Linked DNA regions of Lonchura striata. The protein of the gene in region 4 purifies or fractionates together with the protein of the main gene of each other region. This does not show direct contact. Links are inferred from orthologs where the notes say so. Each region holds a gene or a part of one and is shown on either strand. Other genes may lie near its edges. The genes, in order: YAF2, MGA, CHAMP1 and CBX3.

What was found.
Region 1: the proteins of CBX3 (region 4) and YAF2 purify together in Homo sapiens (affinity purification with mass spectrometry; 4 studies listed by BioGRID and IntAct, with this or other methods). This does not show direct contact. The link is inferred for Lonchura striata from reciprocal best matches to the Homo sapiens genes CBX3 and YAF2.
Region 2: the proteins of CBX3 (region 4) and MGA purify together in Homo sapiens (affinity purification with mass spectrometry; 4 studies listed by BioGRID and IntAct, with this or other methods). This does not show direct contact. The link is inferred for Lonchura striata from reciprocal best matches to the Homo sapiens genes CBX3 and MGA.
Region 3: the proteins of CBX3 (region 4) and CHAMP1 purify together in Homo sapiens (affinity purification with mass spectrometry; 6 studies listed by BioGRID and IntAct, with this or other methods). This does not show direct contact. The link is inferred for Lonchura striata from reciprocal best matches to the Homo sapiens genes CBX3 and CHAMP1.

What each region holds. Positions count from the first base shown.
Region 1 is NC_134607.1:38,823,481-38,830,363, forward strand, and holds the start of YAF2 (YY1-associated factor 2), read right to left. Parts: upstream 3,003-6,883; 5' UTR 2,810-3,002; coding exon 2,784-2,809; intron 2,654-2,783; coding exon 2,528-2,653; intron 1-2,527. UniProt on the Homo sapiens protein: Binds to MYC and inhibits MYC-mediated transactivation. Also binds to MYCN and enhances MYCN-dependent transcriptional activation. Increases calpain 2-mediated proteolysis of YY1 in vitro.
Region 2 is NC_134608.1:37,052,790-37,060,762, reverse strand, and holds the start of MGA (MAX gene-associated protein), read left to right. Parts: upstream 1-4,959; 5' UTR 4,960-5,094; intron 5,095-7,973. UniProt on the Homo sapiens protein: Functions as a dual-specificity transcription factor, regulating the expression of both MAX-network and T-box family target genes. Functions as a repressor or an activator.
Region 3 is NC_134604.1:90,839,325-90,846,292, forward strand, and holds the start of CHAMP1 (chromosome alignment-maintaining phosphoprotein 1), read right to left. Parts: upstream 3,012-6,968; 5' UTR 2,925-3,011; intron 1-2,924. UniProt on the Homo sapiens protein: Required for proper alignment of chromosomes at metaphase and their accurate segregation during mitosis. Involved in the maintenance of spindle microtubules attachment to the kinetochore during sister chromatid biorientation.
Region 4 is NC_134603.1:123,910,340-123,917,624, forward strand, and holds the start of CBX3 (chromobox protein homolog 3), read right to left. Parts: upstream 3,016-7,285; 5' UTR 2,895-3,015; intron 1,369-2,894; exon of another isoform or gene 1,342-1,368; coding exon of another isoform or gene 1,318-1,341; intron 1-1,317. Other genes in the region: HNRNPA2B1 (heterogeneous nuclear ribonucleoproteins A2/B1), read left to right, coding at 3,271-3,300.

The DNA.
Region 1 (6,883 bases), on a different chromosome or scaffold from region 4:
AAATATAATCAAGAAATTGTAAAAATTTGCACTAATCTTAACAATTATATCAGTTACTAAAGAACATAATCCACTTCTAGCCTCTGGCACAAAAGATAACTCTTTCAGAGAGAAGAAATTATTCAACAGTGAAAACACCCACAAAACCTACCCATACCTGAAAATATTTCTGGAAAGGCAAATGTGCACAATCAGTATTAAAATAAAAAAAGCTTTAATCAACTTTGCACCTGATTTCCAGTGGCCTTCAAATCCACTTAGCTTCAATACAATTGCCTGTTTTTCCACCTGCAAATCTGGTCACATTTAATGAACTTTTAACATGCAGAATCAGGTACACATTTCAACAAAAAGAAAGAGATTGCTCTGAATTTAAAATAAAGGTAGCATTTTACAATGTCTTATAGACAAAGCTCTAATCAGTAAAAAAAGCCACAGTTAAAGCCTTTAAGCAAGAAGCATTGCACAGCAACAACCATGCTGATGCAGCACCTTAATCTAACATCAAGCTTCAAAATGGAAGACTAAAATAAATAAATAATGCATTCTCAGTGCCATCAAAACATGGTAGCATCGTTATCCTGCCCCATGTTGATGAAAACCATTTTGTCCTATAGGCAACACCAACAAATGCTTTTCCAAGGTAATCATTTGGTCACTTGGACTCCAGAGGTCTTTAGGGAAAAAAAAAAAAAAAAAAAAACAAACCCACAACAAAAAACACAACGAAAAAAAAACAAGCACCCAGATGGCCTTTTGTGTTTCTTTGGCACCCTAATGATTCTCTTCATGGACACAAAGGTCTCCTTACTGGCTCAAATCATATATCAGAACTGGAGACAAAAGCTGCCTGGCCTAAAACTTCAACTTTTATCTACCTCATGCCATGTGTAAAACTTGGATTTTGCAATATGAAGATGCAACCCATCTAAATCTTAGGGGGAAAAAGAGTCCCAAAGAGTCCCATAAACGTAATCAGGGACACATTGTTATAGAGTTTAAGTAGAGGGGGAAAAAAGAATCAACCTATTGACTACAGTTTGCATACCAGGTCACTGTCAGGGAGAAAGTGGAAACTAAAAAAAGAAAAAAGACAATTTGTTGAAAAATTATTTTAAATATTAAATATTCAAGCAGGGAAACTCGAAGACAATGAAAATATTTGTTTCTCAGAAGAAAAAAAAAATTTTAAGTTTCAATGCTTTTATCCAGCTGAGCTTCCAAAGCAATAAAACATAATTTTAAACTGAATTTTCTTATGAAACTGATTGGATGTTAGAGGCTTTTTGCATTATGTTTTTAAAGCCTTTGCATTAATTCATCAGTCTTATTTTGCTGAACGATACCAATCTGTACACATCTCTCTGTGATATAAACAGAATGCCATTGTTATAACAGGAAACCATAATATATGTGACAGATGCAATTCCCTCCTGTCACATTTACCTTACTGATTTTCTTTGTTAAAAAACAAACAAACAAAAACATTCAACTAATATTCACAACTGAAGTTATGAGAAGTCCTTCCAATATTCATTCTGGTTTTCAGAAGTCAGGGAAACTAGCTCCAGAAATAAAGAATAATCATTTTTATCGAGTAATTGGACCCAACGTTGCCCTTACGATTTCAATCATGTAACATTTATTGCAAGTCATACTCATCACTGCTTTGACCAATATCTACAATGTAATTGTGGCTTTTGATAGGATTGCAACTTGATTGCCATTTAAACTTCTCTTGCTGATGGGATTAACCCGTAGGTATGAAAAGGTAAGAAAGGATTCCTGAGCAACCTTCTATTAGCATGCATAGCTACAAGTGCACTCAAGTTCGTTTGTAAAACGCCTCCATTCCCCAAGCACACATGTTTAGGCCACCGGCAGGTACAGGAACCAGTTAATCTACAGCAAGCTTTGTGACTGGTGTACAGAGGAAAGGTCCTCCTGGGAAGTCACGGGTACACACGGAGACAATTCCATAAAGCGCAATTCAGCTAAAAATTTCTCCTGAACACTGAAGGGTTATAATCCACCCCCTATAGCCCTCGGAAACCTGCATGGTGATGCTCTGTGATGAAAAGCAAATTAAAATAATGCTACCAATAATAATCAAACAAAGGGGTTATGTATGAAGCAAAGTTAAACTCACAGGAAAAAAATTAAAATAAATTTTTAAAAAATTTAAAGGGTGACTGTCTTAGCAGGCACACCCTAGAGGACAGTTCTTGTTCGTGAGAGGGCACAATACCTCCAGGGTTAGGCTGTGCAGGCAATTATGCCCTTCCTGGTATTTATTATTTCTGTTTCTACACACGCCGGCGCAGCGCTGGGTCAGGTTCACCGAGGAGCCGCGGCCGGCGGAGGCTGCGTGTTCCCGCCCCCACTCCTGAGAAACGAGCCCCGATTCCTGTCACGGCCGCCCTCCCTCTCACCCTGGGGATGCACCGCGGCTCCCCCGGCCCCGATTCCTGTCACGGCCGCACAGCCGCCCCCCGCCGGCCCCGCTCCCCCTCCGCCGGCGACCCACCGTGTGGAGGTGCCCTTCCTCACGTCGCACATCAAGCACTTGAAGGCCTCGGCGCTGTTGCGGAAGGTGCAGACGCTGCAGTCCCAGTACCCCTCGTCCGAGGAGGGTTTCGGCTGCCGCTTCGGCCTGCGGAGACACACGCGCGCCAGGGGCAGCACCGGCCGCGACGCGCCCGCCGCCCCCGGCGCGCCCCCGCCGCCGGCCCCGCGCCCCCGGAGGGCGCGGGGGAACGAGAAAGCGCCGCCGCTGCCCCTACCTGGTCGGGCTCTTCTTGTCCCCCATGCCGGCTCCAGACGCGTCCCGGCCCGGCCCCGGCGCGGCCCTTTGTGCGTTTGTCAATAAGGAGGAGCGCGGGGGGTCTCCGGGCTCTCGCGGGGACCCGGGGAGGAGGAGCCGCCGCCGCAAGCCCCAGCTGTCGGGGAAACTCCCGCTGCCGCCGCCGCCTCCCCGCTCACGTGTCCCGCCGCCGCCAACCAGCGCGCCCGCAGGCCGCGGCGCCCGGCGGGCCGCGCACGGCGGCAGCTTCGCTGCGCGGCGGCTCGGGCGCTGCGAGCGGCGGCGGGCCCGGGGCAGCGCGGGGGCTGCTGGGGGCGGCGGGCGGAGCGGGGGCGGCGCCGCGCCGGGGGCGGCCCCGGCGGGGAGGCGGTGCGGATGGGCAGAGCGGCGCGGTGAGTGACTGCCGCCGGCCTGCGGGCTCTTCCCGTGAAGCCGCCCGTGTTGTCGCCCGAGGTTGCTCGCATTAGCGGCTGGACCGTCCTGTGCTTCCTCCCACAGAAATTGCTCCGGGCAGTGGTTTACAGTAAGAAACAAACGCGGATAAGCTGAATGCGAACTTCTGCCTAGAAGTCTCGGTCTAAAGCATCCCGTTGGCCTGAGGCCATGGGAGATCACCCTGGGTATCAATACAAAACCTGGAGAATGGTGTTGCCTTGTCCCCGTGCGCAGGGTCCTACTTTTGCACTTAAAAGCTTGCAAGAACAGCGTGGTTCTCATGCACCATAGCAACCTCAGACAGGACACGGGTGTTTATCACCTCTATTATCAGAGTGCACCAGAGTCCAGTCACAGACTAGGATGCCATTTTGCAGGGTGCTGTGCAAATAGAACAAAGAGCACATGTCCTAGGAGCATAACAAAGACAGCAGCTAGACACACAGGTAGAGAGCAGAATGCAAGAAGACAATAAAATTATACCGGTCAGCATCTCAGTGCCAAAGCTATTCCTGCTGCATTGCCAAGAAATTATGGGATTTCCATAACAAAATATGCTCAAATTTCGAGTTTTACTGAAGTGTATGAAGACACAGACGTGTTTAAAAATTAAGCAAGTGGACAACAGAGAAACTTTCTGATTTTGAAGGCAAAGTTGTCAAGATAAATTTCAGCTAGAAATACTAGGATAGAGAGGGAAAATGTAGGTAAAGCACTTGACACATTAGGGAAGCAATTAAAGACCGCTTAACTGGGATGTAGCATTTATGCAAATGAATAACACTTTTACGAGATTCACAGTTTTCTCTGTCTCTCTAGGAATGCTGTGTGTCAGCAACTGGAAACCTGTCCACCTTCCACTCTTGCCATTTTCCTCACCTTACGGTTCTCTTTCTATATATGCCTCACCTTTCCTTTCCTTTGTCTATTGCAATTTCTCTTTAGGCTTCTCATGCAGTCTTCTGTAAATTATGAATAAAATGTACGGATTGCACATCTGAGGGTGAGGCATGCCACGCACAGACAGCTGGCCTGGGCTCATGTGCATTTAGTTAGACATCTACATGGACTAGGAGCCCAGACCCAGCTCTCAGCAGGAGAAACAAGCTCATGCTGAAGGTGATTGATCTGATGCTAAGACAATTGTCTCACTTATGGAGACTATTTCTTTCCATTGACTATAAAGAGTACTTTACACCAGTAGTCCAGAAGCGGATGTTTAAAATTACAGAATTATATGAGGTATCCCACCTGTGCTTGAACCTGACCTTATGTAGAAATCTCTTGATGGAAAGCAGTAGAGAAACCTGTCTCCTTTTGCCCTTTTCCACAGCACACTCTTTCTCAGTCACTGTATAAACAAACATTATTTCCCTACTTTTGGAAAGTAATTATTTTGATATGACTGCTTTCTCTTGACCTTTCCCCTGTCACAGCCTACTTTCTCTATACCAACTGTGGGAAACGGAATTTCCACTTGTGGTTTCAAAGTGCCTAGATATGTTTTAATCCCTCAGGAACCATTCTTGGAGAGGACCATGTATAATCAGGAGGAGGAAATGCAACTGCCATCCATAAATGTTATCCCTAACAAAAGAGTAATCTTTCTGGCTGTTGTGTTCTAGACCTTCTGCTTCAAGGTCATCATGCAAATGACCATGACTAAAAATAACCATGTTTTCCCAGCAGCATTGGGCTTGTTTCCCCTGAGCTCCAACTAATCTTTATTTTGGAAGCTGAAATGTGGATGGTACATTCAAAAGTTCAAGTGTATGGGTCATGATGCAAGTCACAGTGGCCATGGGTCTGTGCAAGTGTGGGTCTTATTCTTCAATAATCCTGAAAAGGAAAAAAATACTATTTTCCTTGCATCCTTGTTCTGTCCTCAAATAGGAACACAAGAGGAGACCACTGACAGCATCAAGCCATCCCATGTCATCCCTGCAACTGAAACAGTGATGGAAGGCATTACTTAGCAGCAATGCTGGAAAGCATATGTAAGAGGTGTGTGTAATAGCCAGATACTGAAGAGATTCAGGGGGACTTTGGTAAACTGAAAAAGTAAAAAATTCCATACTCAGATACTTTGTCATCCAGTGGTATTCATGTAAACCCAGAAAACTCATCTGTCTTTGCTAAATGTCTGTATGGCACATGATCTAGAAACTTTGAATGACAAAATTGATGGCATCAGTATTAGCAGTCTTTTAAAAAATGTTTCTGGGAAAGAAAAGGGATGAATGTACTATAATTTTAGATATCCTTAAATTTTGACTTTGTCTGGTACAGTTCTTCCAGAGCAATTATTTGCCTCCTGTTTTAATTCAGCTGAGTTAATGTAAACACATTTTTGAGACAGAAGGGATGAGCAATATAATTGTATCTTTCTACATCAGGCATCACTCTCTAGTTAGTGTTTGTTGTCTTATTATCTTAAAATTTATATTTTTTGTAGCATTGTACAAGGGAAATGCTCATAGTATGATTATGATATTAAAAATCATATATGCTGATAGCTATTGGAAGTTATGTATTTCGGTGTATGGTATAAATGTTCTGGCATTCATGACTTCTCAGCTAAAAGTTTATTCATAGTAAAGAAGATGTGAAAGAGGATGGTAGAAATTTTTAAGTACCTATTGTGTAAAAATTCTTACTGCAGAAAAAATTACAGTTGTTCCTAAAAAAAGGTGTTCACATACAAGGTTATTAAGAACAAGCTAGTGCTGTGTAAATCCATACAAAGACTTGCCATTTAGTCAATACTTGAACCATCACTGTGCACAGCAAACTTGTGCCAGTTGCTGCATTATCAGCATCTTGAGCAATTAAGTAATCACTTTGTCACTGCTTGAGCTTAAAAAACTCTCCATAAAGATGATTATCATTATGTTGTAGATAAACCACATTTTAATCCCTATTCATGAAAAGGAATAGCACATAAGTATAAAATTGTACTAGAACAAATGCATGTTATTCCAGCACAGTGTATCTGTTTTGCTTGGGTTGTGGTGGTATAATAAAATTAATACAATGAAATCAATTAATGGGAATTTGACTGGCAAGGGGTTTTTTGGAATGCTAGGTAGAGTAAGGCCTGAATCCTGGCTGGGTTTCTATGTGATACTAGGGTGGGGAAAAATTGAAAATCAGAGACAGTGAAAAGTGAAATCTGCTTGCAGACTCTATAATAAAGACAATAAGATTGGTGACAGCAAGCACTGCCCCTCCAGCCTATGTTTGCTCAGCCTTGGGAGCAGCCCACTGACTACTCATGCTCCTCTTACTAGAGTGTGGAGGCAGGAGAGCGAAATTCTGCTTTAGAAAGGGCCAGAACAGAGAGGGACCACATCTAAAATACTTCATGACATCAGAGAGCCTAAAAGCTGTTTTAAAAGAGTTTTCACTTCCTTGCATGTACAAGTTTGATCTAAACATACTGTATATTTTTTAGGGAATTATAGCACTTATGAGAGTTGATTCATCAGCATATCCTTCAGGTTTCACACAGAGTGGCTCTGACATCAGCAGGGATATGCTGTCATGAACCTTGAGTAACATGGTGGTAATTAAGTCCAGGAGTCTTTCTAGGGTCATAATTTGACTGTATGCTTAGACAAATTTGGCTCCAAATTCGTCAGAGGA
Region 2 (7,973 bases), on a different chromosome or scaffold from region 4:
TTTTGCCAATGCATAGGAGCTTCTAGATGGTCTGCAATGGTCTAAGAATGGTTTCCAACCCACCCAGAAAACCTGTGACCCCACTGTTCTGCCTCTGAGCAGCACCCCAGCGCCTGATGCCTGCCTCATCCCTTTCCTCTACTCTTCCCTCTCCCTTTTCCTTCCTCCTTCTTACCCACCGGGTAGGCCTCCAGCTTTGGGGAAGTTGAAGGCCTTGACCCTAGTATGCCAGTGGCAGTCTGGGCTGGGGGGGCAGAGTTTGCCTCTTGCAGGAGGGACGAGTGTGCCTGCTTCATGTCTCCTTTCACCGGGAGAAGCTGCAGGGCACGGGTAGAGTCTGTCTGTTAGATCTGTAATATCGTTTGGGGCTCCCAAAACTGCTTTAAATGAGGATGCTGCAGCATGAAAACTACTGGCTTCACATATCTGAGAAATCACCGCCATTTTCAGTTTAAAAGCAAATAATTCTAGGAGCCAGGAGAGGCTCGGTGCTGTCGGGAAGTTCAGCCAGGCGCGCTGGCATCGGGTGCCTCCGCGCCGCAGCTGCTTTCGCACCGCCGCTGGCAGACGTGTGCGAGCGGTTTGCAGCCGGAGCTTCCTGCCAGGCTCCAGGACAGCTCCGTGCTCACGTGGATGCCGAGCGACCGGCGCCGGGGCTCCCGCGGCGCGTGTACGGCCGTGGAAGAGCCCTGGGCCGGGGGACGGAGGCGCTCGCTGGCCGCGCCCGCCCGCGGGCCCCTGGGGCGCAGGGCGGCCGCCGCCCCCATCGCACGCCGCGCCCCCCAAGCGCTTCGGGGCAGGTTTGTGCCCCGGCCCCCGCCCCATCTACGAGCGGGACTCGGGTCGGTAGCGCTGCGATAGCGATCTGACCCGGGAGCTGCTCCGGCAGCCTCCTGCCTCGGGCTTGCCTGGGGGAATGTTTAACCCCTCGCGTGCGGTGTCACCGCGAGGAAGGGGCAGCCCAGGGTCTGGGGATGGTGGGTTTGAACCATTCTGGCAGGAAAGGCTTTGTTAGGCTGCGGTCCCTTCAACACGGGAAAAGGAAGGACAAAAGACTAGGCTCGGCTAGGCTTGTGGCAGCAGAAGAGCCAAAACTGCGGCACACAAAGCAGTTGGGAAAGACAGCGAGGCTGGAAAAGCTCCTCCGGGGTGGTCGGGGCTGCTCCCCTCGGCGAGCGATAGCCTTTGGCCAGATCCCAAAGGTACCTTGTGCCCTTTAGGAACTCGCCTACAGCAAGAAAGCCAAATCCCAGCGTCTCGCCGCTGATGCATTCCCAAGGGGTTTCTGCGTTCAATAAACACCGTGCCGGGAGTAAACTGCAGAGACGCGCCAGCAGCTCCTCTCCTGTGGGTGCTGCCGCAGGTCCCCCAGCTCTCTGTGGAATGACTGAAGTGAGGAGCTAAAGTGCAGCCTTGTTTCACCTCTGCTTTCTTTGGGCTGGGGAAGGCAACATCTTGGGAATTCGGAGGTCGCAATTGTCCCTGGTCCTCGTGGAGGGAAGCTGGGACGATCCCTGAGAAGGAGAGGACTTGGCCGCCTTGCAGTCTTGTGTAAAAGAGAGAGCAGAAGCCCAGCCTCAGAAGCACAGGTTCCTTTGAGTGTCCAGAGACAGGAAGACTAAAGAGGGAAGGCTGCAAGGGGGAGCAGTCTGGACCTCGATGAGGTCTTGGGGGGCTTTATCACATTGTGAAACAAAAACAGCAATGAAGTTAGGGGCACGTCTTCTGCTTTGCCTGCCATTTTTCTTTGTCGAATTATTAAAAAAAGCTGGACAGACTTTCCTCCCAACGTTACCTCTCCAGTCCCAGCTGCTGATTCCTGGCCTCTGGCTTTGGAAAGAAGAACCTTTCTTGCTGTACAATTGCACTGTAATGTGCAGCTCTGGTGACCAGTATAAGGGGAAGGTTCGGGTTTAAATTGTGACAAGGAGGCACAATAGCAGCAGCTCCAATGTAACCAAGGGAAAACCTCAGAAAGCAACCATCATCAATGAACCCTTTCCATGAAGGTCATTATTTGGAATACAAAATCCATGCTGCAAAGCTAGTAAATGTCAGCTTCACAATTATCTCAGTGATCTTTATCTGGTTCCCATGTGTGTAATGCTGATTTCATGAAAAATTCACACATTATTTTCTTCATATGATCCTGACTCGCTCAGTGCCCAGGAAGTTCCATCCTTAATCTGACATTTTGCAGGCTTTGAGTGATTGATTAAAGCATTTACATAACATACTTCAAACATGAGGGTTGTGGTGGTTGTTAAATGAAATTATTGTCATTTAAATGTAATTATTTTTACATTTTGATTAATTATAAATGGATATTATTAAAAGGAGAAATTTGTTTATAGGGGTTGGATTTCTACAGTCATCATGAATAAACAGAGCAGGTAATGAGTTTGGCAATAAAATGCCAGCCTTAGGCATAGACCAGATTTAGCACCACCCTTTCTCTTTGTATCACACTTCCTTCCTCCCACAAGCTCAGCCCACTCAAAACCTGTGTAATTTATTCTTATAAAAGGATATGCCTGTTTCTGCTCAGTTTTTAAAAGCCCTTATTTCCTAAATATGCTCCTCGGTGGGAACAGTCCTATTGGATTTCCAGGCCCATTTTATAATTCTTAATAGGATGGGTGGGGATGGAAGAGCTGAAAAAGTTGGGTGTTGATTTCAAGTGAAGAGGCCCACAGTGAACGATGTGTGAACAGGAGAGTGGAGAGAAATGGGATAGTGAGTGGGCCTCTGGGCAAACAGATGATGTGGAAGAGCAGTGTGGTCCTCGGGCAGACAGGGCCCTGGAAGAACAGGTACTGACTGCCCTTTTTCACTTCCCCCTTTAAAAGGTTTTATTCAGAAGGGAAAGGAGGGGGAGAGGAGGATAATTCTTTTTCTTGCTTATTTAAGGTTCCTCAATCTCTATTGATCTTTACTTTCCCAATAATTAACTTTCAAAAAAAAAAAAATAGCCAACAAACAAGTTTTTTTCTGCAAAACCTCACTTGTAATTTGGGCACCTCTGTTTCAAATGATGTGTACATTTTTAAAGTTAGATTTTCTCAATCTAACTTGCATAGGAACTTCTTCAACACAACAGTTGTGAGATCTACCTCTTCCCAATAAAAGATATTTTTTGCACTTAGAGACCAAAACAACAAATTTTCTTTTTTTTTTTTTTAATCTGTTACACGAAGTTGGCTCATTGCTGTAATATTCACAAACACCATCAGGTTTCCTTCAAAACTACTGTAGTCATAATGTCTTTTCCTCCTGAGAGATTATTGAAAACTTACTTCCCTTCCATGTGTTATCTTTTATTTTTCCAACTCCAATATCTTTGATTGCCTTGGCATTACTTCTTTATCCTTTAACTGTAATGATGTTGCAAACATATAAATATCAAACAGTACATTTTATTTGGGCGGCGTTTCCTCTGTTTGGCCTATTAACTAAAACAGATCCCGCAGCTGAGAATTGGGCATTTTATCCCTTATAGCAGCAGAATTTCAAAGAAGCTATCCCTAAATCAGCCCAGAAATTCCAAAAAGACATGTCCTAAGTCCACCAGTGCTTTCTCCATTGACACCCAAACCCTTCTGAACTTCAGCTGTAAGACTGTAAAAGCCCAACAAAAGTTTATGTACCAGTTAATGTATCTGCAACCTTTGTATACAGATTCCTCAAATATAATGTAAGTTGTGAGGGAAGATATCTTTGATCTTCTCAGTGATCTGAGAACCAACCACTCAATTTGGTATCAATTCAATGCAAAGTTCAAGTTTGGAGAAATATGAATCTCTGCCTAATGAGACACTTCCCCTTTTACATCCCTCATGGACTCCCCAGCCATACTGCCACACATTCTCAGTAATGTCACAATGCCTGGGGAATGCAGATTGCTGTGATGACTGAGCACCTTTCCAGGCCAAGACCTCCAACACAGAAATTTCAGCCCAGGGCTACATTATGGTGCTGTTTGTCACCAGCTTTTCTTTAAATTTTAAATTGGTTTCCATTACATGTGACCTGCCTTTACCTTAGACAACTTGAAATTATTTTTCAAGACTGCACGGGAGGCCTGGCCGTACTCATTGATGCAGCTACTGCCCTCGGTTACAACTGCCACACAGCTCAGCCAACCTGCACACGTCCATGTTGCCCAGAGCTCACGGGGATTTCTGTATTTTTTTTTCCCATCAACATTTGTTCCATTATTTAACTGTACACCAAATAAAGGCTTTCTGGATAAGTCTCCAGAATCACCTTTGAGTACGTCCCTATGCTGACAGTTTTTATTTAACTCTTTCGGCTCACACGTAGCTTCCCGGTGACTCGGGGATGGGTGTGAGTGCAGTTGCGTGCAGCTCCACAAACACTCCCGTCCCCGGGAGCCCGGCCGGGTCCGAGAGCCTTGTGCGAGCGGCAATAGCACCCACAGCGTGGGAATCCTTCTGCACTCCAGCATCGCTCCTTCGGCGTTCGCTCGTAGCTCCAGCTACCGCCAGAACATCGCACCCCGCAGCACACGAGCCCCTCTTCCGTGATTCACGAATGCGGAAGGCGGAGGAAAGACGAGGAGCCGCGGGAAGGCGCCGCAGGCGGCCGAAGGCGGTGCGGTGCGGCGGCAGGAGCGCGCCCACGGGGCCGGCGCGGCCACGGGAGCGCGCTCGGGGCGCGGCCGTCCCTCGGGAAGGGCGCGCGCGGGGCGCGGCCGCCGGCGGCGCTACCGCGCGGCCCCACGCGCGAGCAGCGTGTTATCCCTCGCGCACGGCCGGGGGAGGGGCGGGAAGGGCGTGGCCGGCGGCGCCCTGGGAGCGGAACTGCGTCGACGGGCGGATCCGGCCAATCGGCGGCGCGCCGCTGGCGGGGCGTCGCGAGGCAGCTGCACCGCACGGCCGCCGCCGGACCCCGTTGCCCCCCGCGCTCCGGCACCGGCCTCGCGGGGGGGCGGGAGACAAGCCGGGGGAAGGGCCCGGGAACGTGCGTGGCCCACGTGATGGACCGCGGCGGCCAATGAGGGCGGCAGGAGGTCGCGCGTGGCGGGCGAGGGCCGCGTGGGCCGGGGCGTTGCCGGGCGGCGCGCGGACTCAGGTAAGAGCCGGCCGCCCCCCCCTCCCTCGGAAGTTTTTCACTCGAGGTGGCGCGAGGCGTGCGCGCGTCACGTGAGCGCGGCGGCCGCCCAATCACCCGCACGCGCGCCGCCTGCCCGCGCGCTGCCGCCGCGCCCGCGTTTGAGGCGAGGGGGTCGCGCGCGGGACGGGAGCGGGACCGGCGGCCGCTCGCACCCCTGGCGCGCCCCCGCGCCGCTCTGTTCAGGGGTGCGAGCGGGCGGGACCCGGGGGCGCGGGCAATGGGTAGCGGCCGGCGGTCACCTGACCGGGGGGATTGTTTAAAGGGACCGAGCGGCATCCGGGCTCTCCAGCCGGGAAGGGTCGGGTGAGGCCCGGCCCCGGGCAGCTGCCGCCGCTCCCTAAGCCATCGCGCTCCGAGGGATCGGCCCCCGGTGGGGGCGTGGCCGGCGCCACCTATGAGACGGGGCTGGAGCGCCGAGAGAGCCTTTCCCGGGAAGCGGCCCCGGTGCCCCCTGGGTGGCAGAGGCCGGCGGGCTGGGCGGGGCCGGAGCGGGGCCCCCCGGCCGGGGGCGGGGCGGCCCGCGGGCGGCGCGCGTGCGCCCCGGCAGGGCGCGGGGGCGGGCGCGGGGGCGCGCGGCCCTCGGTGCTGCCCTGCTTGGAACCGCTCGCACTGAGCTGGTGAGTTTAGAAGGGAGTCGAAGCGCGAAGGCGAGCTCAGTGAGGAGCGGCTAGGCACGAGGGCCAGCGGCTGTTTCAGCAGCCCGGGGAGATGAGTGGCTTCCCAGTATGTGGTTGGAGCATCTTGCCTGACTCATTGTCAAATCTTGCACAACAGTCACGCTGCCTTGCTCCCGACGTGAACTGTGTGAAGGCATGGGCCGTGTGTAATCGCACTTGATGAGATGGGCTACAGCTCCGAAGATTTGAAGTTGCTGCAGACTGAAAACCGAGGGCAGTTTAAAGAAGAGGGGCAGGCTGAAGCTTTGGTCTTGTTGCTTGCAGCTGTTCTGCCCGATGCAGCTGCAGCACCCTTTCAGTGCCCTCGGGCACAGTGCCTTGTGAATCTGTACAGATAACTGGAAAGGGAAATTTATTCTGCTTCAAAAGTGTTCCCATAGGTGAGCATTTTTGTACAGCTTTTTATAGGGAGAAAAAACCCATATTTCTTAGGTCTGGTGGAGATGGGCAGCATTCATTCACTTCCGTATTTCATCTAACAGCAGATGGCTGTTAACCTCACCCATTGCTGGCTCAGTATCGGTTCAGATGCTGTTGTTCCTGCCATGGGAGAAAACGTGCAACTAGAGGAAACCAGTGGTGAATAAACTTGTTTGGTTACCTTCCAGGAAAAAAAAAAAAAAAAAGGAAATTATTTTTGAATGTAGGCTGCTTCTTCATTTATATGCAAATCCACTAGATTGTTTGTGAAGCTCGTGATTGTTTTTAAAAACAACCTTAAGAAATGGGAAGTCCAAGACATTTTCCTTACAAACGCAATGAAATAGGTCTCTGCCTACTGGAGTGAGAAAGAGCTCTTCTTTGTGAGGAGGCTGTTGTCTGTTTGCTGTTTCATAGACAGCAGAGGATCTACAAAAGAACACTCAGTCATGGCATGTGCATAGGGAGCAGTGCCACTAGTTGTGGCACTAGCAGGGCTTTCCTCTTGTCTTTTTCTTCCATAACTAAGGATGTGTTGTGCTGTGTTGGTTTGCTTTTTTTGTTACTCTTTCTTAACACTGGATAACCTTAGAACAAATAATCATGGTGATGGTGGAGCTGCTCTTCTCTTTCCATACAAAGATGGTATGTACTTTCACTGTTGGATTTTGTCTGGTTTTAGTACCTGGGATAAATCCTTTGCTGAGCTGAATAAGGAAGAATGCAGTGAGAATGATATGTGAGAGAAGGATGATGAAGGTGTGTCATAAGAAGAAAGCAACCAGAAGAAAGCTCTTTTGTTTTATTTTTTTTAATCAAGCCCAAAACAGAAAGGCATTAAAGGAATGTGAACAGCATAAAAGAGAGAAAATGAATGGGAACTAGATAAAACCTATCTACAATAAAAATGCAATCTTTGTTCCAGTGACAATGTCAGGAAAAGCCAGTTTGGACAATGACAAGACTGTGACCCAGATACTGTTAAACAAATATTTGTGATGTTGGAATTGTGCTGTTTTGCTAACTCTTGTACAGTACTTTCTGTTAATTTGGTGTGGTCTTATGACCCCAGGGTAAGTCAATAAACAGTAATGAAGAGGGATATAAACCTGGAGCACATCACCAATGATCTGGACTTGAATGAGTGTCACGTTCTTTTTCCCCCTAAAAGGGGAATAAAGGTTCCTTGGCAGCTCTAACTTGCTGAACCACTGGTGACTCTGTAGCAATGAGTATTGCTATAAAATAACTGGATAAGTAGGACAGTCCTGAACTCGGGTGACGGCTTTTTATTTACGTCATTTTTGGTTTTTTCTTCTATGATGTGGACAAGATCCCCAGCTGAAGATTCATGTATGTGATAAATGTTCCTTATGATGGCCATAAAGGGATTGAAATTTATCAAAATGGTGCTATTCCTGCTGATTATGTCTGGTTTCTGCCAGTGTTGCATGGCAAAAAGCATAAAGCATTACTTCATTGTTTTATTTTGTGATTTTTGGTAGTTGAAATAATAGTATGTTAACAAATACAGCATTCATTGAATGTATGAGCAATGGGCATCTCACTCACTGCTGAAATATAGGAAGTAATGTAAAATACATTAACCTAAATATAACATGTTGTATATAGGTAAAAAGAGCATTTATTATTAGTTAACTTTACTTTCCCCCCTGGCCTCTCACCAGTGATTCATTCTTAACAGAAATCACAGAATCATTTTGGTTGGAAAAGACCTCC
Region 3 (6,968 bases), on a different chromosome or scaffold from region 4:
CTGAGCAATAGGAGTGTCCCAAGCTAATGCACAGAGAGGAGAGACCTCCTGATGTCCTCCCAGCCAACACATCCAGCCATGTCAGAGATGGTCCCTGGATTCTGCACCCATCTTCCACAAGGATCCCAGTTAAGATTAAGCCATACTTCCTACAGCCTCTCAAAAACGTCCCAGTGGAAGAGAAGCAGAAAAATGCAGAGGAGATACCTATACATAAGAAGGAATCCATGCAAGTGTTGGTACAACATGACTCTGGCAGCAAACAAGGATGTCTATACATTTTAACTCCATTCCAATTTCACAGCTACAAATCTTCCAATCACTCCTGGTAATTTTTAATAAACACATTCTACACTTAGAATTGCAACAGTTAATATATACTAGTTTTTTATATACTGCATTTTTCCTTTACTGAAGATAAGCTGTGACTGTCCAAGGGAAGCAACAAAGGGCTCAAAGCTAAAGATCTAGACTCTCAGTGAGCACAGAGAATTAGACTGCTTTCTACATTACATGAAGAAATTCAGAGCACAGCAACAAGTAGTCTGCTACATCATTGTGTCTTGGTTCTCAGGGGCAGAAGAATATATAACTCTTTCCTCTCAGAAGAATATATAACCCTTTCCTCTCAATGAAGCCTGGTGAAACAGAAGCAGAGAGAGAACATGCAACATGCTTTAATGACACCAACACAGCTGGGAAAATGACCCAGAAGAAAGCCCTGTGATTTTCTGCAATGTGCTACAACCACACATAAGATTCCCTATACCAGTCACTGCGCAGGAAGGATCACTGTTGGCTTTCATCAGCCTTGGAAGTTTCTTGCAGACTAACAGCTCAGTCACAACCTCTGTCAGTGAGGAGGGTCAACAGCAAATTTGTTCTCAGAAAAAGAAAGCTGAGGTAAGTGAGATACAGCATCATCATTGCCTCTGATAGCAGGAACAGATCCAGACTTTTGCTGGGTTTAAGCAAAAGGAAAAATTACATGTTCTTGCAGTGCCAAAAAGTAAATGGCAGTTTGGTGGCAGCATGACACTTCTCTTGAAGCTACATCCCTGTATTGTGACTGACAAAGAGAAGTTTAGCTCCCAGAGGAAGCTGCACACAAACACCCCACCGTGGGGCAGAGCAGGCACTTCACAGTGCACTAGGCAGGTACGGGCATCACTTCCAAGGCACCATGAACAAGACAGGCAGCCCTGTGCTCTTGCTAGTCCAGAAGCATCCACAGTATCTGACTACAACCTCACATCTGAACTCCCAGCTATCAGCCAATCTACTCAGGCTAAGCTCCACCAGCAACAATTGCTGAACAAGGTCTTTAAAATTACACATCTACACAAGGCACAAACACTCTGACCCAACCAGCCACTGAAACAGCAAGGAATGCTAAGAACGTGAGAGCCACAAGTTCCAGGAAGGAAATGCTGCATTATGAAGTTCCATGTTTCCAGGAAAGGTTCAAGTCAGGAGAGATCTACAAAGTGACAATACTTGATACACATACAGATGACTTAAGAAAAACAAACCACCTAGAACTGCAACAATTTTGCAATATTTCAATCTTTGTGAAGAGAATGACAAGTCTACACAACATTAGCTCTTGATAGAAGATCTATCAACAGTCAAAATTGCAGAGTAAAATCAGTATACCTTCGACAGATTCAAGACAGAAGAAATTAATTCCATGTACTGCTTCTACAGCTTTCTAATTCCAAATTCACAATTCCACTTCCAGTTGGCTTCCAAAAATGCCCCCAAAAACATTACTGTCGCAGTGCTGTACCTGAGCTAATGAAGTGCCACTAGACCCACTAGAGCATAACAATCTAGTCAAGATCTGAATTAGGGTCGTGAAACTTAGTAACATGCTAAGAATTCCATTAACACTACCCTGAAAGAATATGGAGTTCAAGGGAAGATTACAGAAGAGAAATGTGAAATCCAAAGTTTCTATATTCCTCACTTGCAAAAAATTCATAGAATCGTTTAGGTTGGAAAAGACCTCTGAGATCATCAAGCTCCAACCTATGACTGAACACCACCTTGTCAAGTAGACCATGGCACTCAGTGCCACATCCAGTCTTTCCTTAAAAAGCTTCAGGGACAGTGACTCCAACACCACTCTGGACAGTCCATTCCAATGTCTAATCACTTTCGCAGTGAAGAAATTCTTCCTAATGTCCAGTCTAAACCTCCGTTGGTGCAATTTAAGATTATGTCCTCTCGTCCTGTCACTTGTTGCCTGGGAGGAGAGGCCGACCCTCACCTGGCTACACGCTCCTTTCTCGCGGTTGCAGAGCGCTAAGGTCCCTCCTGAGCCTCCTGCTCTCCAGGCGGGACAAGCCCAGCTCCCTGAGCCGCTCCTCACAGGACCTGTCTCCAGAAGTGCCGTGAGCCTTGGCTCTGCACCTGCTCCTCTGCTCCCACGTGCGACGCAGCCGCTCCCGGCAGCTATTTCTGTCACCGGGGAAGGGCCCGGTCCCGGCGGGGACACGTCCCGTGCCGAACTCGCTATCCCGGCACAGCGGACCGGCGGCGTGCTCCTCCTGCTCCTCGCTCCGCCGGCATCACTCTAACTTTCCTGCGGGAAGGGGGTGCCTGAGGGCTCGGCTTTCCCGGCTCCCCGCTGCCCGGCCCTCCCGGGGCCGCACCCCCGGGGCCGGGGCCACGCCGCCCGCCCGTTCATGCCGCCGCGGCGGGCGCTCTCCCTCGCCGCCTCCGCTCTCCCTCTTCGCTCCCGTGCGCGGCCCCACCGGTTTTGTTCCCCCCGCGCCGGCACCGCCAGCCGCCGCCGCCCCCCGCGCGGCGGGGGCTGGACAAGGGGAAGGCCCAGGCCCGACGCCCAGGGGGAGGGAGGGGAGCGCGGCGGGCCCGGGCGGCGGGAGCGGGGCCGAGCGGGACGCGGCGGCGGCACTCACCGTTCGGCACTCCGGGACGGCGGGCGCGGGCCGGGGGGGCCGGGCCGGGCTCCCCCCGCCAATGGCGGCGGCGGCGGCGGCGGGAGGCGGGGCCGGGTCACGTGCCGCGGCGGCGGCGGCGGGGCCGGGGGCGGGGCCGCGCTCCGCGCCCGCCGGCAGGGGGCGCTGCGCACGGGGCCCGGCCGCGTCCGGGAGCCCGCGGGGCTCGTCCGGCGCGGGGAGAGTTCCAGAGCCGCAGAAACACCGAGTCACAAAGCCACAAAAAGGCTGCAAAACACCTCCGAGGTCCTCCACTTGATCAAGCACCACCGTGTCAACGGGGCCATGGCCCTCGGGGCCGTGTCCAGTTTTCCTTAAACGCCTCCAGGGACGGTGACTCCACCACCTTGCTGGGCAGCCCATTCCAAAAACCAGCCACCCTCTGAGTACAGAAATTCTTCCTAAAATCCAGCCCAAAAATCCCTTGATGCCGTTTAAGGCTGTGTTCTCTCATCCTGTCGCTGGTGGCCTGTGAGAAGAGCCTGACCCCAGCCTGCGGCAGCTCCTTTCAGGTGTTGCAGTGGTGGCAAGGTCTCCCTGAGCCTCCTCTTCCCCAGGCTGAGCAGCCCCAGCTCCCTCAGCCGCTCCCTGCAGGACACCTCCATCGCTCTTCCCCGGATCTGCCATTAGCATCCTTCCCCAAATGTGTGCAGGGCTCTAGGTGTGGGCTCTGCACAGCCAAATAGGCCACACCTCAGGAACTGTGTGTCCAGTTCTAGACACCTCAATTCAGGAATTGCTTTTTGTCTTTTGGGTTTAGCTGTGCATTTTGTCTGTAATGAAAGAATGAAAGAGTTACAGAATCACAGAACCAATTAAGTTGGACCTCTGAAATCAACTCCAACCTGTGAATGAGCACCCGCATGTCAACCTGTCCATTTTTTCCTTAAACATCTCCAGGGACAGTTACTCCCCGGAGGTGTTTAAGGAAACACTCTCTGGAGGCTGAGGGGCATTTTGTTAAGACAGAAGCTGAGGATAACCCAGGTTCTTGTTACTAGATCCCTTGGGGGACGTTAGTGTGAAACAATACTGAATGATCAGTAGTTGTAAATAAACAATGTAGGTTTTATTATAGAACAACTTGGCTGCAAAGGAAAACAGGTATGGAGCTGTTTGGGTGGTTATTATCTATAGTAATACAACATGAAAGCATTGCAATGTGAAAGTGCAACATCACCCAAGGACACATACAAGGGGAAAGAAAGAAAGGACAAAGGAAAGAAGAAAAAGGAAAGGAAAGAAGGAAAGAGGAAAGGAAAGGAAAGGAAAGGAAAGGAAAGGAAAGGAAAGGAAAGGAAAGGAAAGGAAAGGAAAGGAAAGGAAAGGAAAGGAAAGGAAAGGAAAGGAAAGGAAAGGAAAGGAAAGGAAAGGAAAGGAAAGGAAAGGAAAGGAAAGGAAAGGAAAGGAAAGGAAAGGAAAGGAAAGGAAAGGAAAGGAAAGGAAAGGAAAGGAAAGGAAAGGAAAGGAAAGGAAAGGAAAGGAAAGGAAAGGAAAGGAAAGGAAAGGAAAGGAAAGGAAAGGAAAGGAAAGGAAAGGAAAGGAAAGGAAAGGAAAGGAAAGGAAAGGAAAGGAAAGGAAAGGAAAGGAAAGGAAAGGAAAGGAAAGGAAAGGAAAGGAAAGGAAAGGTGAGGATCTCACCACCCTAAGCCTCACAGTAAGACTTGATTACTGTCCAGCGATTGTGGTCAAAGTGGTGGTCAGGTGATGGACGAAGTCCCGAAGAAGTGGTGGGGATGAATCTGCGGAACACATAATCTCTTGGGTTTATATTCACTCTGGTTCAAGTAAATATAAATCAGGTGCCTTCTCAGGACCAGGGAGCTTCATGTAATACTGTAGATCATGGTGCAGTTGAATCAGTTTGCCCCATTATGTCCCATCAGCAGAGATGAACCTGCTCTGGTCACACTTGAGTTCCCTGGCATTTCCAGGGGGAGGAGGGCAAGCCCCACAGCCCAGTGGTTTGTGCAAGGAAGCACAGCTTGGCACGACAAGGGGCACAATTCTCTCCACTGGATCCAGCGCTTATCTCACTCTCAGCCCATCATTCACCCTGTGCCTTATCAGATCAGAGGTTTAGCCATTACACAACTAAAAGTTCACCTACTCCCTGTCAACCAAGCACCCTGGCATCTCCACAAATGAAGAATGTTTTGAGTCATTGTCTCTTAATAGTTCCGTCTCTCACACATCCTCATTGCTCTCTACATCTTCTAGAGGAGAGAAGCAGAGGGAAAGATGCTAAGCTTTTCTCCTTGGTACCCACTGAGAGGATAGGTAGGGATGGCTCAGAGCTCCTTCAGGCAAGGTTCGGGCTGTAGGTTTGGGCTGTAGGTTCGGCAGCATTTCCTTACCAAGAGGGCGGCTCTGTGACAGGCAGCATTCAGCAGTGATCTGTTACATCCCCCGGCTGCTTGGATAGAAGCAGGATTTTTCACCAGTCATATCTAAGTTTCCAACAAAATCAATCCTGCCCATGCTCTGAAAATGTAGTGGAAGTGTAGTGATTAACTACAATTACTGATTGATGAGGAATTTATTTATTTTTTCCACATCTAGATGCCATGGAGAAATCTAGCACTGCAGGCTAGATACCCTCCAGGTGTTCTGTGTAGTCACGTCCCAGGCTCATATCTCTTTAACTACAGGTTATACATTTATCATTGGGGATTGTGGTTTTCCATGACTAACAAAACCCAACTGGTCGACTCTATCCAAATCTGCAGCTAAGAATATTATTGCTACTTATCCCCTTGTACTTGCATTTTATCTGCTTTTTATTACTCAAAATGCTGACTCCTGCTTTGTTCATTCATGGAAATAGCTGTAAAGTCAACCCAAGGCCAACTAATAACCTGTAATTTTCACTTGATCCTGAACTTGTCATCTCTTTCTGATTTGCCAGTGCTTTCATTCATCTTACAGTTTTAAAATTAATTTCCAGCTACTGTAGTTAATTATTTCCATTGAGAATGGAATCAAACACTTAATTAAATTTCAGATAAACCTGGTGTACCCCATTTATTAGGTTTCTTCTTAGACAGACTAAGTAAACTTCTTCCATGCTATTGTTACCTGTAAGTGATTTGGAGTACTTGGAGGATTTCCTTTCAACCTAGTGAAGAAGTTCTCTCAAAGGAGGTTATGAAATCCCACAGAGATTTTTTTTTTTCTGGATTATCAATTACAGAGCATAGGTAAAGAACACATCTCAACTAACTGCAGTGAATAACTTTTTTTAAATAGACTTTTTTTTTTACTGTATGGTTATACTTTCTTTTTTTAACTTGTTTAGAACTTTTTTTCCTTTACATCTAGGGATTAAATTTGATTTATGAAATCATGCTAAAGTTTCATAAGTCTCCCCCCTTTCGGTTATATTATTGTGAAAAACACTTGAATATCATTTGCAGTTCTAGATTTTTTTTTTTTAATAAGCAACATGCAAAAATTTACCATATCCACTGGTGAAATCTCTCAGTAAAAATGCCAGCAGGCTTTTGAAGGCATGGAGTTTAATCATCCAAGACAGCTATTTTTTCATTCAATTCCTTCCCGTAGGCTTCTAAATTACTTTCTGAAATGGCCTTTTGCTTATTATGCATTAGTAACTGTAACAAATACAGCAATGAATGTTACCTAACAGTGTAGCTAGGGAGATCACAATTCATTGGAGATACATCTAAATACCCCTGGTTATATTTTTACCTTATGTAACATATTCACAAATGTTTTCCTCCTTGTTATTTGATCCCTGATTTAGGAACTTTAAAGTTCCCAATATATAAGCAACTTTAATCTTTGTATTTCAGGATGTTTTTAAATGTTAAGGAAACAAGACTGAGCCTTTTCAGCCCTGAAAATGTTTCCATTTCTCCTTTGATATCCTGATTTTCTTGACTGAATGCCTGAGAACATAATTGTACACATACTCTTGTTTCTGGATGCTGATGACCTTCAACAGCTGTCAAAACTGTGCAAGAACTTCCAGCAGGTAATGTC
Region 4 (7,285 bases):
CATATGACACCACATATGACAGATGTAGATCTATGGATAAACACTCTTTCGTTGAGGGGCAAGGTTAAAACACTGATGTGACACTGTGGTGTAAAATTTTAACATACAAGATGTAAGAAAATTGGAATTACAGCTCTAGAGCTACCCTACCCCTTAACATATTTAGGTTTTGCATGCAAATATATAACTAAGCAGAATTAGTTATGGTTCCCATGGGAACCATAACTGATTTTCCTGACCTGTACAGCAAAATTCTCAATAACATCAAAAGATTAAAAATACCACATTCAAAAGATTTTTTTCCTCTCTCCAAAGCACCCTTTCCCAGGCTGGCTAACTTCTTCTCTTCTTCAAATTAGGGATAAGTGGACAATCAATTACTAACAGAAAGTTTAGACATTCATCTCGGTGAAATATTTTAAACCAGTACAACACAGAGGAAGCACTCCGTTGCACTTCTAAGCCAGGAGTTAATAAAAGTTTTGAATATATTTTGAACTGAGTAAACATTTCTGTAAATTTAAGAACAGGCCTTTCGAGACTATTATAAACCAGCTGTTCTGCTGCTGGAGTTTTGAATTGTGCACATATATTTTGGCTTGCTTCCCCATCTCAATCTCAGATACATCTCACAATATACTTCTACAGGTCTGTCTTTCATGAAACTATGTATCAGTATTAGTTGAACTGCAACCAGCAACCAACTGCCATTGGAAGTCCATATTTTAATGTCAAGCAAAGCTTTAGAGGACTTGAGATCCATGAATGCATCATTAAAATGGTCCAGGAAGGGTTGACATCTGATAATCTCTGCTCCTATGAAATTCAAAGAAACTGTTATTTGTTAAAAAGCATTTCAAAAGGCATCTTAATTATGCCACATCATTTCTCAATAATGTTACTTTCCATCTGTAAAGATTGCCTTTTGTCAGGCAAATATTTTTCTCCAAATACACTGGGAGAAATTAAGTGAATACATGATTTAGACTTTATTTTTTACATGTATGATGAATTACATGGTATGCTGAAAGGAGGCTAAAAAAAATCCTCAGTATTTTCTATTGTAGAATAGATGAAATAGTGCAGAGTCCTTTCATACTTTTTTCTCAACACGTTTCTCTTTAGAAATGGCAGATTTATTAAAACCAAAGACAATGTCCTTTCTAGTAGCCTTACTTTCTGGATCTGAAATTTGGTCAGAATAATGCTGGGGAGGGGAGATGTGGATGTATCTTTTAAATGGAGATGCCAAGTTATAAGTTTGAAGAAAAATATGTTGATTAAATCCTTATATACTTTAGGTGTGCATGAACTTACCAATGTAGTTTTATTGGAGGCCATTTTTATTGCAGACTTGCAGAGCTTTTACTAGAAAAATGCATGACAATTAAAAGGAAGTTTGCATTACTCAAAGAAAGGCATCCCAAGACAAGCATGGTCCTTGTTCCAACCCCCATGTATTCACTGCATACAACATTTCTTACACGGATTAAATCCAGAACAAAAAGTAGGTTACTACTTTGTCCGGCATAACCCAGTAATGCACCATTAGGCTAGCCAGGATAAATGATACTGACAAGGTGGTATATAGGGTTGAAAAAAATTTTTCCCAAGGCCTTCAAAAGCATAGACATGTTTCTAGGGAAAAGGGGGAGGACCATCAGGGATGCTCATTTCCTTAAACCAAATAGAAACAGAGCTCAAATTCTAGCAATTGAAGACATACCTAAGGTATATTAACTGTAAATATCTGATGGGGAAGATATATATATTTGTGGTGCAATGAATCACCCATTATTCTTACATGGTAGCAAATTCTTATAAACAGCAAATATTTCTCTTAATGCAACTATAATGTTGCCTTCTGATTCTCAAGTTGGCAAGAGTTAAGGTCCTAAAACAATATTAACTCAGCTAAGATGTACATACTACATATTTAACCTATGCAAATTAGGTTGAACACAATCCATCCCCTTTTCCATGTCATTTCTCATACCGACCAGCTCCATAGGCATGTATTGTCACCGCCCCGCAGCGAGCTATAGAAATGCTAGAATTCCCCATATGCCTGGGTAAAGCAGAAAAGTCCTTTAAGGCCAGAAAGCCTTCCGGACTCAGCAATCCCGCCCAATCCTCCCCTGACACGGGAGGCGGATTTTGGCAGCCGCATGGGCGGTGGGTTAGGCGAGGTGGGAAAAGGGCCGGGGCCAGGGCGCCAGTGCCGAAGGTCTTGCCTTGCGTCCCCCGGAGAGGCAGCAGAAAGGGGTAAAAAAAAAAAAACCCAAAACCCAATAGCAACAATCCCCCCCGCCACAAACCAGAGGCAGCCCTGCGGAGGCCTGCTGCGCCTCGGGCCTGCGGCGGGCGCACATGAGGCCGGCGGGGCTGCCCCGGGCGAGGTAACGGGGACGCAGGCCTGGGCCGCTTCCGCCGCCGCTGACAGGGCCCCTCCACGCCATCTTCCCCCCGCCCCTTCACGTCTTCCCCGGGCCGAGCACACGTAGGGACCGCCGGCGGGCCGGCTTTGTCTGCCGCGCGGGTGCCGCTGCCCCCGCCCCCGGCACTGCTCTCCTTCCCCTGGGGCGACAGCGCCCGCGTGCCCGGGCGCCGGCCTGCCTCCCTCCCTCCCTCCCTCCCCGAGCGGGTGCCGAAGCCCCGATTCCCCGACAGCTCCGCTCCGCCCGCCACCCCCCACCGCCAAGGAAGCGGGGGTGGGGAAGAAGCGGCGGTGGGGGGAGGCGGGCGGGTTGCGCTCCGCATCTCCCCGCGGCGGCCCGCAGCGAGCCGCAGAGGAAAGGGGAGTCAGGGAAAGGGACTCGAGGGTGAATGGGGTGAAAGGAAGCGGCTGCAGCGAAAGAAAAGAGGGAGAGAGAGAGAGAGAGAAGGATACAGACTTCAATGGTGCCCAGCCGCTTAGGTCTCCTGTCTCCTCCTGGCTCCCGCCCTGCGCGCACTGAGCGGCGGCGGCAGCAGCAACAGCGACATCCGCGGGGGGCTGAGGCGGGGGGTGGGGGCAGGGAGGGAGCGAGAGAGGGAGGGCGGGAGCGGAGGGCGGAGAGCGGCGCGGCGGTGGCGGGCTGGGCTGGGCTGGGCCGGGCGAGCTCTGCGCGCCGGCGGCTGTGACGGGGCAGAGCGCACGACGCCGCCGCCGCCTACGCGCGAGCCGCTACAACCTCCGACCGTCGTCGCCGCCGGCACAGGAGGGGGGCCAAGACGTCTCTCCAACGCGGGGCGAGCGCAGGACCGCGCCAGGCGTCCAAAAGAAGGAAGATGCCTCGCGGCGACAGGGAAAGCGACTGGGTAAGCCTGGGGGAGCGGGCGGGGTTGGCGGACCCCGAGAGCCACGGCCGCCATCATGGCGGCCGCAGCGAATGCGCTTCGGGCCGATGCTGCCCGCCGCCGCGGAGCGAGGCCCTCGATCGGGGCGGCCGGGCGGGCCCCGGGCGTGGGGAGGGCAGGCGAGGAGCGCTGGCGTAGGTTTGAAGCTCGTTTGGAGGGGCCCCCTTTGGAGGGCGGCCATTTCCCGCGTTGCGGCGGGGAGGCCTGGGTGTGAGCAAGGGCGGGGGGAGGGAAGGGGGCTCGGGAAGCTGCGGGGCTCTGGGGCCCGAGAACTCATTCATAAGTGGGAAAAGGGGTCGGGGGAGTCGGCTGGGGAGCCTTCACTGCAGCCAGGAGAGCTGCGGGTGGATCCGCGGTGAAGCTGAAAGGGAGGGGGAGCAGAGGGGGCGGGAAGAAAGGAGCTGCTCCAGCGCCATTTCTTTGGCGCGCGGGGCGGCAGCACTCACCCTTTGTCGCGGTGCGCGTAGGGCCGCCGGAGAGGGAAAAAAGGAGGGGATGAAGGAGAAGAAGAGGACAGCGCGGCGGAGCGGGCAGCACGCCCGATGCCGATGGTGCGGGCTAGAGCGGAGCGAGCTGCGGCGAAGTCCGCCTCCCTCCGCCGGGGCCCCGCGATATATCGCACTTGTGCCAAAATCTGTGTAACTTTCACTTCCTCCTGCCTGGGCGGAGGAGGAAGGGGGCCAGGGCGAGGTTTCGGGGAGCGATGCGCTGCCGCCCCCGACTAATAATAACGCCGAGGTTTGTGCCTTCGGGGCCTTTTGTCAATTTCCATAAAAAAAACCAAACAAAATTGAGTGCCAGTAGCGTTCGAGGCCGCTACGGCTGCGCTCGGGCACGTCTCGCGAGCCTGTCGATGGTCAGAAACTGCCGAGTTGGCTGAAGTAGTCGGTGACTTGCTGCGTCTTTCTGTCCGGAAATTGCCGAGCTGGCCCCGAGCGCCATTTTCGCGTGCTGCGGCAGATTCCGGAAATTACCGAAGCGAGTCGAATGGGCTTCCATTCCTGGTTCGGCTTTTTCCGGCGGCTGTCGAAGCGGATAAGCTCGACGACGACAGCTCCTTCGGCTCATTTCGGAGACGGCCATTACTAACGGAGTCGATGACTTTCATTACACGATAAAAACACGTAGGGGCATTATTCAGAATTGCAGCCCCTTTGGAGATATTTAAGCTCCAGATCCTGTAGTTTTTTTTTTCTTTTTTTTTTTCTTTTTTTTTTTTTTTTTTAATTAATTAAACCTCGGAAGCGAGCCCGAGCTGGAGTACGAGGGCGCTAACACTACGCGGAGCTGAATTTCAAATTACGTAACAGCTCAGGCAGCCATTACCGACCAGTTGTACGGTACTCTCGAGCGGGAATACATAAACCATGAAGAACATGGTACGTGGAATGGGTGGATTTAGACCTTGCTTTTAAGGAGGGAGACGCGTTTGCTTGTGTAGACAGAGTGAATTTTTTCGGGACTCAGAATTACAAGCAAGCTTGAGTCGTCCGCACAAGTCCAGGCGCTGCCGCCGGTCGCAGCGCGGGGCGGATGCTGGATGTCTTTGCGCAGAGGAAGGTTTTGGAAGCGGCGACTGGGGCTGGCGCACAGCCGGGCGAGGCGGCGGAAGCTGCGGTAACCGCGCATGGCGGACAGCGCGTTCTTGAGCCCGTGGCCATGGCTATTAGCTGCGCTGCTGCTGAGGTGTCGGAGGAGCGGGGGGAGTCTGAGCCCCGCGGGCTGGGGGGGCCGTCTTGGCCCCCCGAGGCGCGGAGCGGCCGAGCGGCGCTGCGGGTAATGGCGGTGGCGAGGGGGAGGGGTAAAATGGCGGCCTGGCTGGGACTCGCGTCTGCGAGAGGCACTGGGGATCCCTCCGGCAGAGTGGGCAAGGCGGGCGTCAGCTGTAGTCGTCTGGTATGCACGGGGGCGAGAAGGAGCGCTGGAGAGGCCTTAGTACCGTGTGTGTAGGTGTACGCTGGCAGCAATTCGCAGCGCTGTCCCTGGAGGCGGCGGCTGCTCCCGGGCGCCATTTTCCCCGCCCGGCTCGGGGCCGCGGTGTTCCCGCTGCCGCCACATGGTGGAGCCGGCGCGGCCGCTGCGTCCCGGCCGCCACAGGCGGCGAGCGAGCTGCCGCTGAGGGGTTGCGGAGCTCTGGAGTTCAGGGATTCCCCCTCGCTCGTCTCCGGTAAACATTGCTGTTACCCGAGTTCTTAATTCCGCTGTCAGCGTGGATTGTGTCTGCGCACGTTACAGCTATGTGAAACACCTTTCCTTTCTCTGGTGATTAATTTTTTAGTAAAGGCTATGCGTTTTTCAGTGCTTTCAAGTTGCTTTAAGACTGTGGAGTAAAGCTTAAAATACACACGCATGAAGATCCTACAGAGGTAGAAATTTCCCTTAGTGCTTTGTTCCTGCCACGGGCCATACTGTGGAAATCTTGAAAGAGGTGTTAACCTCCAGCTTTTATATTGTGGCCTTTCCTAGGTATGAGGTGTCTGTCTGTAGCAAAAGAGTATTTTCCTTAGGACTCTATGAGACACTGGCATGATGATAGTTATTGTACATTTTATACCTTCAGCACAAACTTTAGATGTGCAGAACTCTCTGGACTTTGGTAGGTTAGTGTTAGGCCAACCAGAGCTTCTTCAGACTGGCTCATTTGAGACAGATAGTTTATCTGCATCTAGAGATTTCGTGTTAGTGGAGCAGCGTGTGTGCTGTTTTCGCACAGTGGTTTTCATTAAAGAACTGGTAATTAATTTCGTTATTGCTGTTTTCTGACGTGTGGTGCTTAGATGTTCTGGGTAGATCATGACCCTAAATACATCTGTAAAATGCATTACTATTCTGTTTAATGTCTGTTAGTTATATGTAGTATATTTTTATAATTGTTATTGTATATTTTATAATTTTACAATTGTTTCTTGAGTTCTGTTTGCAGGTTTGTAGCTGTTTTCAGGGGGTAACAATAACACTGGAAAAAATCCTGCCTGTCTACTAAACTTACTTAATTCTCATATTTTTATAATAATGTCCTTTATTAAATGGGTGGTAATAGATTTCATAGATCTACAAAAAAAACCACATTTTTATATCCAACTGTAAGCAAGTGGTCCCTAATTCTCAAGCAGCAGAACTGAAGGGAGGATTTTTATTTTTGCAGTATTGTTGCTTAAAAATTTTTCTTTGCTCTTTTACTCAAAATTAATAAATAATACTATGACATATGGTGAATATGTTTTTTTTATACTGGTCTGGTGTGCAGTGTTCTTTGTTCCTTTTATGTGATGAGGTGAAAAGGAATTAGTTGAAACATGTGTCTGCTGCTTGTGAACATGTGTCTTATTTTGCTTGTCCTTTTGTCTAAGGAGGAGACAGTACTAGCTTTCTTTGTGTTCTTAGAAGAAAAATAACTAGATCCAACAGCAGAGTCAAATATTTTTCAAGAGAAATTTGAACTGATCAATCTTAAATAGAGTATGTATTTGGAAGAAGGAGGGGAGAAAGTTGACTTCCTTGTCAGACTGCAGTATGAAAGGCTGGTAATACAGAGGTGTATTTTGAAAAAAAAACCCTGGGTTGTCACTGCCTACGGTAATTGTACTGTGTTACATGCATCTTGATCCAGGCCTACCTTGGACAACTTCAGAAAATACATTGGTCTGTGTGCAGATTGGCTTAATTCTTCCAAAAGCATATGTACACAGAAATATTTTGCTTGTTTTCTTAGTCTCAGTGTTTTTCTAGTTCTTTTTTTAAAATTTATCTTAATCCCCATTGCACAATTAATCATGTTGTGTTTGTCAGTTACACCTCCTGCTGTAATGTTTGAGTTGTATATAAAGCAACCACTACACTAATGAAAACACAGCCAAAGGCCCAAGCATATTTTCTTGATTATTAAAGTTAGTTAACAGTATAAAGCTGAAGTGATTTGGTTTGAGTTCTCTTGTCCAGAAGAGTT